Mytilus edulis: one gene and its partner. The protein of the gene in region 1 purifies or fractionates together with the protein of each later gene. This does not show direct contact. Links are inferred from orthologs where the notes say so. Each region holds a gene or a part of one and is shown in the gene's direction. Other genes may lie near its edges.

Region 1 (7,351 bases):
GCCCTTCATTGATATTTGCCAGGGATTTACTCGCTCTTGAAAGGTCCTTTTGATAGTCTGAAGAACCAAACTGTTCTTGAAGCCTTGGCTGTTGTCTAATCAATGCGAGTGTATCATGATAGATCTTGGCTGATTGTCAACAGTATTTGCTAACATTGCATGTCTCTATTGTGTGGCCATAAGGATGTATATGGTATTGATTATACTACGCGCATATACCCTTTATCGCTATGTGGATAGAAATCATTTGCCAGATTACCGCCACTTTTCCCATGGTTCTGGTTGGATGTTCGTGTCGGATATTAACTTTGTTTCTATGTTCTTGGGGATCAAACAGTCATCATCAAACTGTTTAAAAAAAGAACCCAAATTTCAGTTAGTTCATTAATTAAAAAGTCAGAAATTTGAGAATCATTTTTAAAAGTAAGAAATAATAGGGTCATATGACGTTGACATGCTCCCTCTACTTGGACATGTCGCCTTCTTCTGCGTATGAAGTTACCATATCATTTCAGGACTGAACAGCTGATTCTACAGTTTTGGAACTTGAGAGGAACAATCTTTGATGTGGTAACTTGACGGAGGTTTTCCTAAAATCAAGTATTACGGCATCTGTCTTATGTAGACGAAACGCGCGTCTGGCGTACTAAATTATAATCCTGGTACCTTTGATACCTATTTACACCACTGGGTCGATGCCACTGCTGGTGGACGTTTCGTCCCCGAGGGTATCACCAGCCCAGTAGTCAACACTTCGGTGTTGACATGAATATCAATAAAGTGGTAATTTTTATGAAACAAAACTTTGAATTTTTCGAAAAACTAAGGATTTTCTTATCCCAGGCATAGATTACCTTAGCCGTATTTGGTACAACTTTTTGGAATTTTGGATCCTCAATGCTCTTCAACCTTTGTACTTGTTTGGTTTATAAATGTTTTGATATGAGCGTCACTGGTGAGTCTTATGTAGACGAAACGCGCGTCTGGCGTACTAAATTATAATCCTGGACTTTTCCTGGTACCTTTGATAACTTATATATATTGAACGTCTTTTGCAAAGTCTTGGATGGTTGCGATAAGCTATGTTTCACTAAAACGTCTACTCAAGAATCTATTCTGAGCATCAATAAGGGATTTTTTTGTAAGTGTTGTCACTGATGATGCATTTGTAGACGAAACGATCATCTGGCGCAAACACAAATTTCATTTCTGGTTTCTATGATGAGTTTATTTATGGTAGAATGTAGAATATGCCCAACAACAATATTGGAACATGAAAGTCAATGAAACCGGCATGTTGATAGCAGCTTTGCTCTTGTTTCCATTTTTAAGACATGTCTAACTTGTCTTACTATCCAGATGTCTAGAACCGTGTAAAGGTTGATTGAAGTCTGGTGTATTAGATAAAACACTGGGCAGCTCCTTCAAAAAAATAGCTGGTACTTAGTCGGGTCCTTCAGCTTTGTGTGGTTTATAAAGATTTTTGAGAAGCGTGTACACTAATGTAATTGAGCCATATGTGGAAATGTGCTTGGTCCCTTGTCCTTCTCTTGGGAATACAGACTTGAAGGATGTTTGTGTTTGTGATTTGTTCGCTTTGTACATATGTGAGGCCTTCTTGGACTCCTGCAATGTGCGATTGTGCTACTTGCTAAAAGACCAGAAGGTCTTAGTGTTACAGTTTGGTTTTGAACGTATGAGGTCACGGTCATAGTTCAAAAAGTCGTGTGAGCTTGACGAATACTCATCTAGAAATTTAACATTTAATGATTGTAGCGTTGATACACTTATTTTGCTTCTTGCTTTTTTTTTTGTTCTCTCTCTTATTGTATTAGTTTTGGGTAGTTGTTAGAGATGACAGGAATGTAAAGTAGTTCAATTATCTGTCAATCTAAAAATGCACTCTCTATATATACTTGATTAGCATAGTCCATCTATCATTGATCATCATTTGCTCGTGCATATTAATCTTCAACAACATGGCGGAAACTTCTTTACGGCTTTCGTTTTTTTCGAAGTGACAGATGTCAGCTGATTTGTCAATCCAGCAAATAAATAACAACAATACAAGAGGAAAGAAAATACTAGACCAGATGTTTACAAGCCACCCCTGAGAGAGAGATTTAAAACACTGCCACCCATACTATAGGAAATAGCTATCATGACATAGTATTAGTGGACATATCAGCAAATGTCAAATATCAATTGCTAGACAGAGCCACCCTTGGGTGAATACCCAACTGAGACAATTGAGCAAACAGAAACCAAGAGCTAACTCCAAGGCAAAACACAACAACTCACCAAAGGACTGGAAAGTCAAACGGTATAAAAACATCAGAGCTGAACTTCAACGAGCGTCTAGACGAGCACATACAAAATGCATGCAAAATATAGTCTGTGGAGATTTAAACAAGAACCCAAAAAGATTTTGGTCATACATAAAGAGTAGGAAACAGGAATCTTCAGGTATAACAATTCTAAAAATAAAGATGGATACTACATAGCGACACACCAACAAAAGCTGCTATACTAAACAACCAATTCCATTCAATATACACCCAAGAAGACCTAAACAACATGCCAGATAAAGGGCCAAGCCCACATCCAACCACGAGACCAATAAAAATCAGTCGGAATGGTGTCACTAGACTACTTAGAGGACTAAGACCGTTTAAGGTAATTGGCCCAGATGACTGATTGACATACCAGCCTTCATTCTCAAGAATACTCCTGATCAACTATCATCTTACCTGACAAGACTATACCAACTGTCAATGGACCAGGGATCAGTACCAGAAGATTGGAGGTCAACCAACATAGTCCCAGTCTTTAAGAAAGGTAAAAAAAAACACAGCAGCAAATTACCGTCCAGAGTCCTTGACATCCATCACATGTAAGGTGCTAGAGCACATAATCCACAGTTCTATCATGGACCACTATGAACAAAACACCATACTTTGCAACGAACAACATGGGTTTAGAACCAAACGATTATGCGAATTCCAGCTGGTAATAACTATACACGAAATAGCTAAGAACATGGAGGACGGCGACCAGACAGACATCATCCTGATAAACTTCGCTAAGGCCTTTGATAAGGTGCCACATGCCAGACTACTTCATAAAATGGATTACTACGGAGTAAGAGGTTTCCAGATTCAATGGATAAAACAGTTTCTGTCCAACAGAACTCAGTCTGTCATTCTCGAAAACCACAAGTCGGACCCTCTTTACGTGATATCTGGAATACCCCAGGACACTTAGATGGGTCCCTTCCTCTTTCTGGTCTATATCAACGACCTCCCAGAAGCACCAACATCAAGTGCTCGACTGTAAGCTGATGACTGTAGATCTACTCTTCCGCTGCATTAGGAAAACAGAGGATGCAGACTTGCTGCAAAAAGACCTATTTAAATCTCGCTGGAAGAATGGGAACACAGACCAGCAGCTCGCTTTGTTTATAGTTGCTACCAGGACAACTCTCCTGAATATGTTACTAAGCTACTGGACCAACTTCAATGGGAATCACTGCTGCACAGACGACGGAAACAGAGCCTCGTGTTGTATAACAAGAACCAACACCAGTTGATTGCCATTGATCCAGCCAAATACTGCACAACAAGGGATAGTAGGACAAGGGACAACCACTAATGTAGACAAACTACTCCCACTCATTCTTCCCAAGAACAACTAGAGAATGGAATTAACTCCCCCAATATATAGTGGAGTCCGGATCACTAGAGGAATTCGGGTCCAGAGTGAATACCACCCCCTGGACCCAGCCACATCTGAAATACATTAATTGTAGACAGCAGGATAACATGTGTACATAGATGTAATTAAGATTAATATTTCATTGTAAATACCATCAAGTTTTGCCTGTCCTCCTGTCATTTTGAGATGCGCCCGAGTTTATTACACTTTAGTATAGAGTTGAAAAAGAAGAAGACATGTGAAATTGTGTTGCAACAAAACGAAGTTCATTATGTGATGCATTCAATGTTTGGGGTATGCTATGTGTCATATATTGTCTTTCTAAATATGAAATATTACTTACGCAGTGTTCCAGTTGTATTATATCTTTAGAGTAATGTCTATAAAGACTATTACACTTTGTTCCGCAGTTGATGCATTTCATTGTTTATAGCGGATGTTTACATTAGTAAAATAATAAACGATAGTTGTATGGACAGTCCGAATATCCGTATTTTTATTGTTCACGAATCGCATTCAATAAAAATACATATAACATTAATTGGTTATCAATATCTATACGATGAAATATGCATTATCTCAACATACAGTGACAACTTTATACATATTCCATGTTCATGCAATCCTATTTAACCCGTTTTTTCAACGGTTCTTTTCCGATTTAATTAATTTTTTACAATTGTTTTGGTATATCCGGTTCTTTAAAAACAAAAATGATTTCTGAAGAAGAAGCAAAGCCAAAGTAAGTAAGACTGTTATGTCGTTAACAAAACAGTCGATTAATCATTAGTTAATAACAGATAAGTTTAATAAGGCACTGCATTTTTTGAGGTGATCATGCAGCCAGAAATAGGCAGAATGTTAGGATGTATTCCATCAATCAGGAACATATATATAGATATACTGTTCCCAGCATCAATACACCTTATCGCTATACACCTTATCGCTATTTGTCCGCCATTGCTGGAAATCACACAGGTTCCCGTAAAATTTTGACGTCATAAAACAAAATGTCTGACGCCACAATGGAAAAGTGATTGTTGTTGACGTCAAAAGTTCAAGCGGACGGGTCAGCCGGGAATAGCGATAAGGTGTATTCCCGGCTGACCCGTCCGCTTGAACTTTTGACGTCAACAACAATCACTTTTCCATTGTGGCGTCAGACATTTTGTTTTATGACGTCAAAATTTTACGGGAACCTGTATGATTTCCAGCAATGGCAGACAAATAGCGATAAGGTGTATGTAATCCATTGATTGTAAAAATGGGTATCAGGTCCGTTCGCGCCCAATACACTTTCGCACCCTACACGTTCGCACCTCGCACGTTCGCACCCAATGTCCGTTCGCACTCTACACGTTCGCGCCCAATTTTAATACAAAATTCCAGTCGAATAATTGGAAAATCATGATTGTTGTTTTAAATTGCTTTGGTGTAAATACTGAATGTATTTATAGCTTGATATGAGTAAAGAGGGGGGATAGGACCTTTATCGGGACTCTGAATCGGGTGTTTTTAAGCTCGGGATTTCGGGATCCGGGAATCCTTTTTTTCGGATTTCGGGATTTCAGGATTTGCTTTATTTAAGTTCGGGACCTCGGGATTTCGTTTTTTCAAGTCCGGGATTTCGGGATCAAGACCCTTCCTATCCCCCCTCAGTAAAACATTGAAGATTTTAAACGAAAAACACAAAAGATAATTGTTTTTAACAGCTTGGTCCCTTTGATCTGAAACAATGAAACAATAAAATATAGCAATACACGAATTATAACCAAAACATGATAAAATTTATACAACACACAAAAACAAAAAAAAACCTAGTCAGAATCTCACTTTATTTTGAATCAAGTCAGTGAAACAAAGTTATAGCAATACCACCGTGTAGATTGCCACATGCGGGGTGTCGGCTATGTTTGACATGGGGTGGCAATTTTGAAGCGACGAAAAAGTAACAAATTAAACAAGGTAAGTTCAAGCATCAAAATTTCTTATTTTTAGAACTCTCAGTACCATATAATGTATTGCACGGAAGGAACCGCAACATAATCTATTTCCTGAAAGCAGAAGCAGTCGTTTTCAGTGCTTAGTTTTCTCAAACACCTCGCCCTAGTTTTCCGGGTTGCAGATTTGAGGCTTTATTTGCCAATTTCGGTATAAAAAACTACTTTACACAGCTAACCTCCATATCATTTATATAGAATTGTATTCGTCTCTTTGATTTATACCAAATACCAGTTTCTTGGTTAAAATTAATTGGTTTTAAAACTGTTATTCATCAAAATATAAAGTGTCGCTCGGGGTGTCAGATTTTGTGTCGCAAGGGGTAGAGGCTTGTCATAAAAAAGAATACATTTTCTTATAAATCGATCTCTATCTGATACTTTTTAATTCAAACACACCTACACTGTTATGATGACAAATTACAAACTTAAGGTATGTAGTTCTAGCTGGGCGATTATGAACGAAATAACTGTCTTGAATCATATTTTCTTGTAAACCTGTTCCGTTGTATATTTGTGTATAAGTCGTTGTTTTCTCATTGACAATTGTAGTATCATCGTCTTCAGGATTACTTGAAGTTGTGTTGTCATTCGCTGAAAAAGATGCCGGTGAGTGTTTCATTGGAGAAAGTGTTCTAATTCTTTTAGGAGTGATGGTTTTTGGCGGCGTGCATGAGTGCTTTTTAGATGAACCTGGTGATGAACTATGATGCATTTTTGCTGGTGGAGGCTTCTTATATTAAGGACTATTTTGTGATTTTCCACCATGTTTTGGTTTATTGAGCCATAGCCTTGCCTTTTTTTACCATGATAGTGACTGAAAAGGAAAAGAAATCGTTTACCAGCTTGGAAACTAAATATGTTGAGTCATTTTTTACTATGAATGAAATCAAAAGCACATGTTTTATAAGACCAAAAACAGGCAAAATGAAAAACCCTTATTTTGTCATGGTAAAGTAGATGTGAATGAAATCAAATCATATCTTTTATAAGACGAAAAACAGGCAAAATGAAAAATCCTATTTTGTCATGGTAAAGTAGATGTGTTTGAAATAAAATGTATCATATGAAGGCTAATTTACATACAAATATGTATTTTTTATGACAAGCCTCTACCCCTTTCGACGCAAAATCTGACACCCCGAGCGACACTTTATATTTTGATGAATAACAGTTTTAAAACCAATTGATTTTAACTAAGAAACTGGTATTTGGTATAAGTCAATGAGAGGAATACAATTCTATATACATGGTACGGAGGGTAGCTGTGTAAAGTAGTTTTTATACCGAAATTGGCATATAAAGCCTCAAAATCTGCAACACGGAAAAGTAGGGCGAGGTGTTTGAGAAAACTGAGCACTGAAAACGACTGCTTCTGCTTTCAGGAAATAGATTTTGTTGCTGTTCCTTCCGTGCAATATATTATATGATACTGAGAGTTCTAAAAATAAGAAATTTTGATGCTTGAACTTACCTTGTTACTTTTTCGTCGCTTCAAAATTGCCACCCCATGTCAAACATAGCCGACACCCCGCATGTGGCGTTCTACACGGTGAATACACTAACCAAAACATGATTAAGAGTTATTCAACACAAAATAAAACTTTGACAGAATCCCACTCATGACTTTATTTAGA
Region 2 (7,253 bases), on another chromosome or scaffold:
AAAATTACAGTTTGTTCTTTTTCTTTACTAATATAATTTCCTAAAGCTAAATATGTTATAAAGTATGTCATGTTGAGATTTTCTGGTATCGGTTGAGATATTCTGGAACAATGTTGAGATCTTCTGGTGAATGAAATTTTCAACTATAAAAAGAAGATGTGGTATGACTGCCAATGGGACAACTGTCCACAAGAGACCAACATGACACAGACATTGACAACTATAGGTCACCGTACGGCCTTCAACAATGAGCAAAGCCGATACCGCATAGTCAGCTATAAAAGGCCCCGATATGACAATGTAAAACAATTTAAACGAGAAAACTATAAAGACCTTATCTGTATAAAAAATAAATAAATAACGGAAAACAAATATGATTCAATATGCAGCACATAAACAAACGACAACCACTGAATTACAGGCTCCTGACTTGGGACAGGCACATACATAAATAATGTGGAGGGGTTAAACATGTTAGCGGGATCCCAACCCTCCCCCTTACCTGGAACAGTGGTATATATAACAGTACAACATAAGAACGAGCTATAAAAATCAGTTGAAAAAGGTTTAACTCATCAGATGAACAAAAATGCAATTGGACGTGGCCGGGTTCTTGAACATCCCGACAACAAAAAGACACTAGGAACAGATTTGAGAGTACTCGCAGTTATCTGACAGCTAGTTAAAAGCCATTAACAACTAATAAAAAAATCATGCATCTAAGACTAAACTATCAATCCGTACACATCAAATTAATTTAGTGTAAAGACGTCATAAACAGTCAGAGAAAAACATGACCTTGTGTAGCTTACAACTGTCAAAATTCATAAACTTGCCGTATATTGTTTGACATTTCAACAGTCATTTTAATCTTGTCTGTAGTTATGACAGCAGCTTCTAAAGAGGCCTTTGGTTGTAATAGAGTCTAAATAGTAAATAGCTGTGTTTTTTAAGTACTAGTATTAAAGTTCTAACGCTGGAGATTAATTCTAGCGTTTGAGATGCAGTTTTGCACAGAAGCTTTAACGTCAATAATGTTGTAATTGACATCTCCAGGGCTATTAATTATTTATTTATTTATGTGTTACATATTTGTTGTTCGTTCATTTTTTTTTATATTTACAAGGCCGTTAGTTTTCTCGTTACAATTGTTTTACATTGTCATTTTGGGGCCTTTTATAGCTGTCTATGCAGTATGGGCTTTGCTTATTATTGAAGGCTATACGGCGACCTCTAGTTGTTACTTTATGTGTCATTTTGGTCCCTTTTGGAGAGTTGTATCATTGGCAATCGTACCACAGAAAGAACATTGATAATAAAACGGATACATACAAATTGAAAACAAATCGCGTAAGAAAAGGCAATTATTGGTATGTTAGTTTTCTTTAGTACCATGAATATTTTTGGCTCAACTTCTCAATCATGATCAGGCAAAATTATTGGCTTTTTATTCTGACATTTTTTTTTATTCCTCTTCCGTCCCATTTTTCGGCATATAACACGTCCGTTTTATTTGGCCATTACATCACGGACTCCTAACGGATGCAAATTTTGTAAATCGAAAACTTTTGTTTATCCTTTCGACGTTCGTTCGAGCTATCTGGTAAGGTGTGACCACAGTTTTTAGCAGATATCGCATGCTTAGCATACACACAATTTTTTTTTAACTATCTCCCACAATTAAGCTACGTCGAATCCAGTTTTAAAATATTTAAAAAGAAAACTGAATTAATATTCAGAAATGGATATTCATTAAATTCTTTCATTTCATCAAAAGTTATTATTTAAAGTAGATAATTGCAAAGGAGATGTACATGCAATATAGATTACCTCTTACTGTCATAATCTGAAGGAGAACTGGAGGACAAATGTTGAACTATCTCCTGACACTTTAAGACTGTTCTAGCTTAAACAGTTCTAATCAAGAACTGATTTGGTCATTGGTAAGTTCTACCTAGAACTGATTTACACAGTTCAATCTGGAACGACAGTTCCACGGCTAAAAAAATCTACGACTAGAACAGAACTGCGACCTGATTTCGCCACGAACGCATCACGATTGTTTTGAACATGTTAAAAGTTGGCTACTCTCAACACGATCACCAAGAACTCATCAAGACCGTAACACAACCAAACTGCACTACGATCGTCAATAGCATTATTTTTTTAGAAATCGTAGTGCGAGACCTAGTGTGACGGGGCCCGGGTTATAATATAAATGTTGCTGAATATTACCAAATATTAAGGATGTGCCCTGAATGCAGTTGTAAACAAATATCTAAGTTTTAATTATTTCAATACAACACCTGTGATTACACTAAGTTGGACGTCACTTATAATAATTACAAAGCAATTTTAAAATCGTCATATTTTTTTTTTGTGATAAGTATTATAATGACAAAAATGACATCTTTTACTCACATTTAAATTATCCTCTCCCTGAAATAATGTGTAAGAAAAAATAAACCTAGAAAAGGGGTCCTGTTCGATTGTTTAGTTTTTAACTATTTTATTTCTTTATAAATGTACGCATTTTCGGCATCAAATATTGTCTGTTAGGAATCGAATTCATCCAAATCATATGAATGAATAACCATTGTAAAATAATCTTATTTATATTTGTAAGGCATGCATTTTTCTATCGGCAATGCTTAAAATTGTATCTGTATTTAGATTTTATGTTACCCTAGACAGAGAACATGAATCAGGTTAACCATAAAAAAAGGTAAACTCGAATAGTACAGCGCAACCAGAAAGTCTCAACATTGTGACAGAAAGATTCAACCAATACCTTTATATCTCAACCAATTTTAATTTTTTTATTTTTTGCTCAGAGTAGGCTTGACAAACACATATTTGTGCAATTTACAGACGTGGTTATCGTAAAGCCTAAAAAAACACAAATTATTGACATATTTTCTTGCTAAGTCATTAATATCATAGCACTTCTATCGTATTTAAAGAATGTAAACATTATAATCCGTAGGAGAAAAGTGATTGTGACTTCAATTTAAAATATTTTAAACCAAGAAGAGACATATTAGTTACAATTATGATTTGTCTATGGCATGACATTCTCCGATTTACAAAAAAAGTCGTTAATTTTCAGTAAATCGACAAAAAATCGACCTACCCTGTGTTTATTTTCAATATTTTGAACCAGAAAAGCTCAACAGGAAGTGCCAGAATACTTTTTTCCGTCTCAACCATTTGGTTGAGATTAGATTGTTGGTTTACCAGGCGTGTTAAAACACAATGTTGACTGCTGCACCCCTATCAAGTTTTGATATTTTTATCTATCTTTTTGTGTTTGTTTTGTTCACACATCGTTATCAATATAATGGAATTGTATGCGACTGTATGGTTTAATCCACCATTTATACTTCAGAAAATGCCTGAACCAAGTCATGAATATGACAGTTGTCATCCATTTATTTGGTGTTTGAAAATTTGATTTTGCCAAAAATGATTTGCTTAGGAATTTTCCGTTTCGAAATTTCCTCGGAGCTAGTTCGGTATTTTTCTTCTTTTTTAAAACTTTTTCCTGCGATTTAATTTGAATAGTCACTAGGTGCTGGGACTATTATAATATCATTAGTATAATAGTCCCAGCTAGCTGCTTTTTTTTTAACTAGCTTTCGATATAATAACTTAAGTAACAAACACAGAAAGCGCTTCTCCTGTTTCACATATATATAGAGTATTTTCCGTTTGTCCATGATGAATTCTGCCGGGGATATCGTGAGCGGCGTCACTTGTAAAATAGTTTAAAACCTTTAGACTAAAGTTGCAAAACGTAGTAATTTTTTGTCACTTTACAGTTTTTTTCTAACAAACCACCTTTTGTTGTATCATTTGAACCCATGAGTCTATGATGAATAAAAGGAGATGTGGGGTTATATGCCCATGACATAGTAACCCAGCTACAAAATTAAATAACCACAAAACCAAATTTTAACGTGTCACTATGACATGGACAAAAGTTAAAATTATTTGTTTTATGACTTCTACAGTAGTGAAATTAAAATAAAAAATACAAATACGAATTTATGTAAAAGATCAAATTTTTTTAAGGATATGAACAAAAAGTTTATTACCAGATTACAGATCCAACACAGTATATTGACCACTTGATTATCTTGTTGAAACAAAAAATCGTAAATGATTCTGTGATTACTTGGACTACCCCATGAGGGGCCTCTTTTAAGAATCGGACATATTTCCGGAACATTTCTCCAGATTTGATTTGGTTAATAAATTTGAATCGTCGTTTCCTGTTTATATTTCACCACGTCAAAAAAATAGAAATTATATAAAAATTATGTCTAAACTAAGCATAAACACCAACTTTACATACTCCCTCTACACTGTTTGCGACAATAATGTTCTGTCCTCTTGATCAGGTAATGCAAAACTCGAATGCTTTGGTTGAATTAACAAAAATATCTTGAACATGTTAACATGGTTAAGGTCACAAGAACTTTTGAAGAAGTGACATACACAGTGTTTCATACTTGTTATGCAATTTTCTTGGCATATCTCACTATGATCGGGAATATAGTGCTATGATTTGCTATAAATTTGTTCATTTATATCCATTGAATGTCTTTATAGTCAATAAAGGTAAACTTAAATAATTATATTGGTATATATACATGTACATGCAGTGCTCTAGCTAGAAATCAAAAGGGGCAGGGTGCCAGTGGAGGGCAGGGCACTTTTTATGATAAGAAAAGGCACTGCCATTTTTTTTGTCTACGTTTCTGTGTGTATCACGAGTTAACGAATCTCTTTTTTTTTTACTGTATATGTTGTTTTTTTTAAATAAAGATGCATTTTAACTATAGTCTTTATTTCATTGTTTGTGTAGTTATGAATTATATAGTACATCTTCATCAACTTATAAAAGTGTTTATAGTTTAACTTCACTCTACCCATTGTCGAAGAATTTTTTTTTTATCTTTATAAGAATTTCAGCTTTTATATGTTATTTATCTAACTTTGTAGTGTATTACTAATTTATCAATGTTTAGAACATGGATTGCTAAAAGTATAATTATCAAACAGAAATTGCAATATATTTTTTTTAATATGTTCAAAGACAGTTAATATCCTTAAGGTAACATTATTATGTTATTATATATTCAATTGGTTCTTTATTCCTTTTTTTGATACTAGATAATATTTTTAGAGCACAAATTTGTAATAAGCTAAAACAGGGGAAGTAACTCCAAAATTAATTTCCAACACGTTTGCGTTAATTAAAAACTGTGCTTGTCGCTAACAAGTTGAGATGGAAGGCATTTCTGTGAAGGCATAGTTTTATTTTGATGACTTAAATTCAATTCTAAAGTCATGAAAGTCTTCATTTATACACTCTTTCATTGTGACTTGGAAATCGAAAATGCCGACCCAACCTAAACACACTTGCTGACACGTTCATCAAAAGTATGACAAAAAGATACATTGTCCTAATTAAATTACCTAGTTATTAACACCTTTGAAGTCTTTATCATTGTAATTGATTGTAATGACATGATTAACCTGGGGGCAATCACACAGGTGTCATATATGTAATTAACTTGGAGATCAGAAATCGATGAAACAAAAAGCAATTTTACCAAAACGGCACAAGAGAATTTTGGAAAAAGACGTCAGGGCAGAAGGGCGCGGATGAAGGCACCCAGGGCGCGGCTGAGGGCACCCAGGGTGCGGCGCCCTTCTATTTTGGGCTAGCGAGACCACTGTACATGTATGTTAATAGGGGTGAGGCACTTGCAAGGCTAATATGAGGCAGGCATTACCTGTAAATGGGGACGAAGTCTGTATGAATTATTTTTTTGAACCTTAAATATTTGTTAAAAAAAAGAAACGGAAATACCGTAACGTTTCCAATTTTGGTTCTGTTGTTAGGGATTTTTAGTTGTGACGTTATTTAAGTTATGACATCATATGCAATGTAAACCAAGAAACGCTTTCATCAGGTAACGTTTTTTCATATCGAGGAATTATAAAAAAAATGAAATTGGTATTGCGTTCCTTTCTATTTTATACTAGACTGATAAATATATATTTTACTCAAAGTTTCACAAAAACGAGACCAGAAAAAGGAAGTACATTGTAGATTTCTGCGCAGATGTGGGAATTCAAAACATGACATCAAAAAAATTGAACGATTTTGAGTTCATTAGTACAATGAAAATTTTGGGAAAATTAAATTTCCTGATTTTTTTAAAATTTTTTTTTATTATTGATTTTTCTACTGTTATTGGGGACTTCGTCCCCATATAATCAGTTCATTGAGTGTGGCCAATGTATCTGGCAGAAACTATTTAGAATACAACACACCTGCTTGATATCATACTAGTATACTGGCCAGCGACCACATGTGTGATTTATGACAACTTATCGATGGGTGTGTAAATATTGACACCTTTGTGTGTTTTTAATGACTCTTTGCAAGCTTAAATTAAGGAAAATACATTTACATGGTGATTGGAATAGTACAAATTTTTATTGATTTATAATACAATACAGATTATATTATGACTTCTCTTGAACTGAAAGTGAATTTTAATATGCGTATTGTTATACGTTTACTTTTCTACATTGGCTAGAGGTATAGGTGGAGGGTTGAGATCTCATTAACATGTTTAACCCACCACAACTTTGCGCCTGTCCCAAGTCAGGAGCCTCTGGCCTTTGTTAGTCTTGTATGATTTTTAATTTTAGTTTCTTGTGTATAATTCGGAGTTTAGTATGACGTCCTTTATCACTGTACTAGTATACATACTTTTTAAGGGGCCAGCTGAAGGAAGCCTCCAGGTGCTGGAGTTTCTCGCTACATTGAAGACCCGTTTGTGGCCTTAGGCTGTTGTCAACTTTATGGTTGGGTTGTTGTCGCTTTGACACATTCCCCATTTCCTTTCTCAATTTTACAATGCAGCGTCCAACAGAATGACTTCTTACTTGAACAAGTTAATTATATATAAAATAGTATATGGCACATAATTGGAAAGCACTTGGTCAAGAGAATAAATGGTATCCAATATACAGTATACCATTCAAGGAAAATTTGTATATGAGAAGAAAATATTTTTATTTGCATCTAGAAATTGTACTGACTTTTTTATTAGTAATTACATTTCAATTAATTATTGTTTTTCTTAATTTCAGGTTAATCTTACCATTATGGCTTTTTAAACACTGACACTATGGTTGCCCTATAGTGGGCATCCAGTCTTTGGCTGGTA

The links. Proteins that work in one complex are often made in the same cells at the same time.
Region 2: the proteins of ribonuclease P protein subunit p20-like (region 1) and inhibitor of Bruton tyrosine kinase-like purify together in Homo sapiens (affinity purification with mass spectrometry; 3 studies listed by BioGRID and IntAct, with this or other methods). This does not show direct contact. The link is inferred for Mytilus edulis from reciprocal best matches to the Homo sapiens genes POP7 and IBTK.

Annotation. Positions count from the first base shown.
Region 1 is NC_092346.1:9,585,048-9,592,398, reverse strand, and holds the start of ribonuclease P protein subunit p20-like, read left to right. Parts: upstream 1-4,351; 5' UTR 4,352-4,427; coding exon 4,428-4,456; intron 4,457-7,351. Other genes in the region: protein ARV1-like, read right to left, coding at 4,058-4,138. UniProt on the Homo sapiens protein: Component of ribonuclease P, a ribonucleoprotein complex that generates mature tRNA molecules by cleaving their 5'-ends. Also a component of the MRP ribonuclease complex, which cleaves pre-rRNA sequences.
Region 2 is NC_092353.1:20,080,543-20,087,795, forward strand, and holds the start of inhibitor of Bruton tyrosine kinase-like, read left to right. Parts: upstream 1-4,237; 5' UTR 4,238-4,403; intron 4,404-7,176; 5' UTR 7,177-7,253. UniProt on the Homo sapiens protein: Acts as an inhibitor of BTK tyrosine kinase activity, thereby playing a role in B-cell development. Down-regulates BTK kinase activity, leading to interference with BTK-mediated calcium mobilization and NF-kappa-B-driven transcription.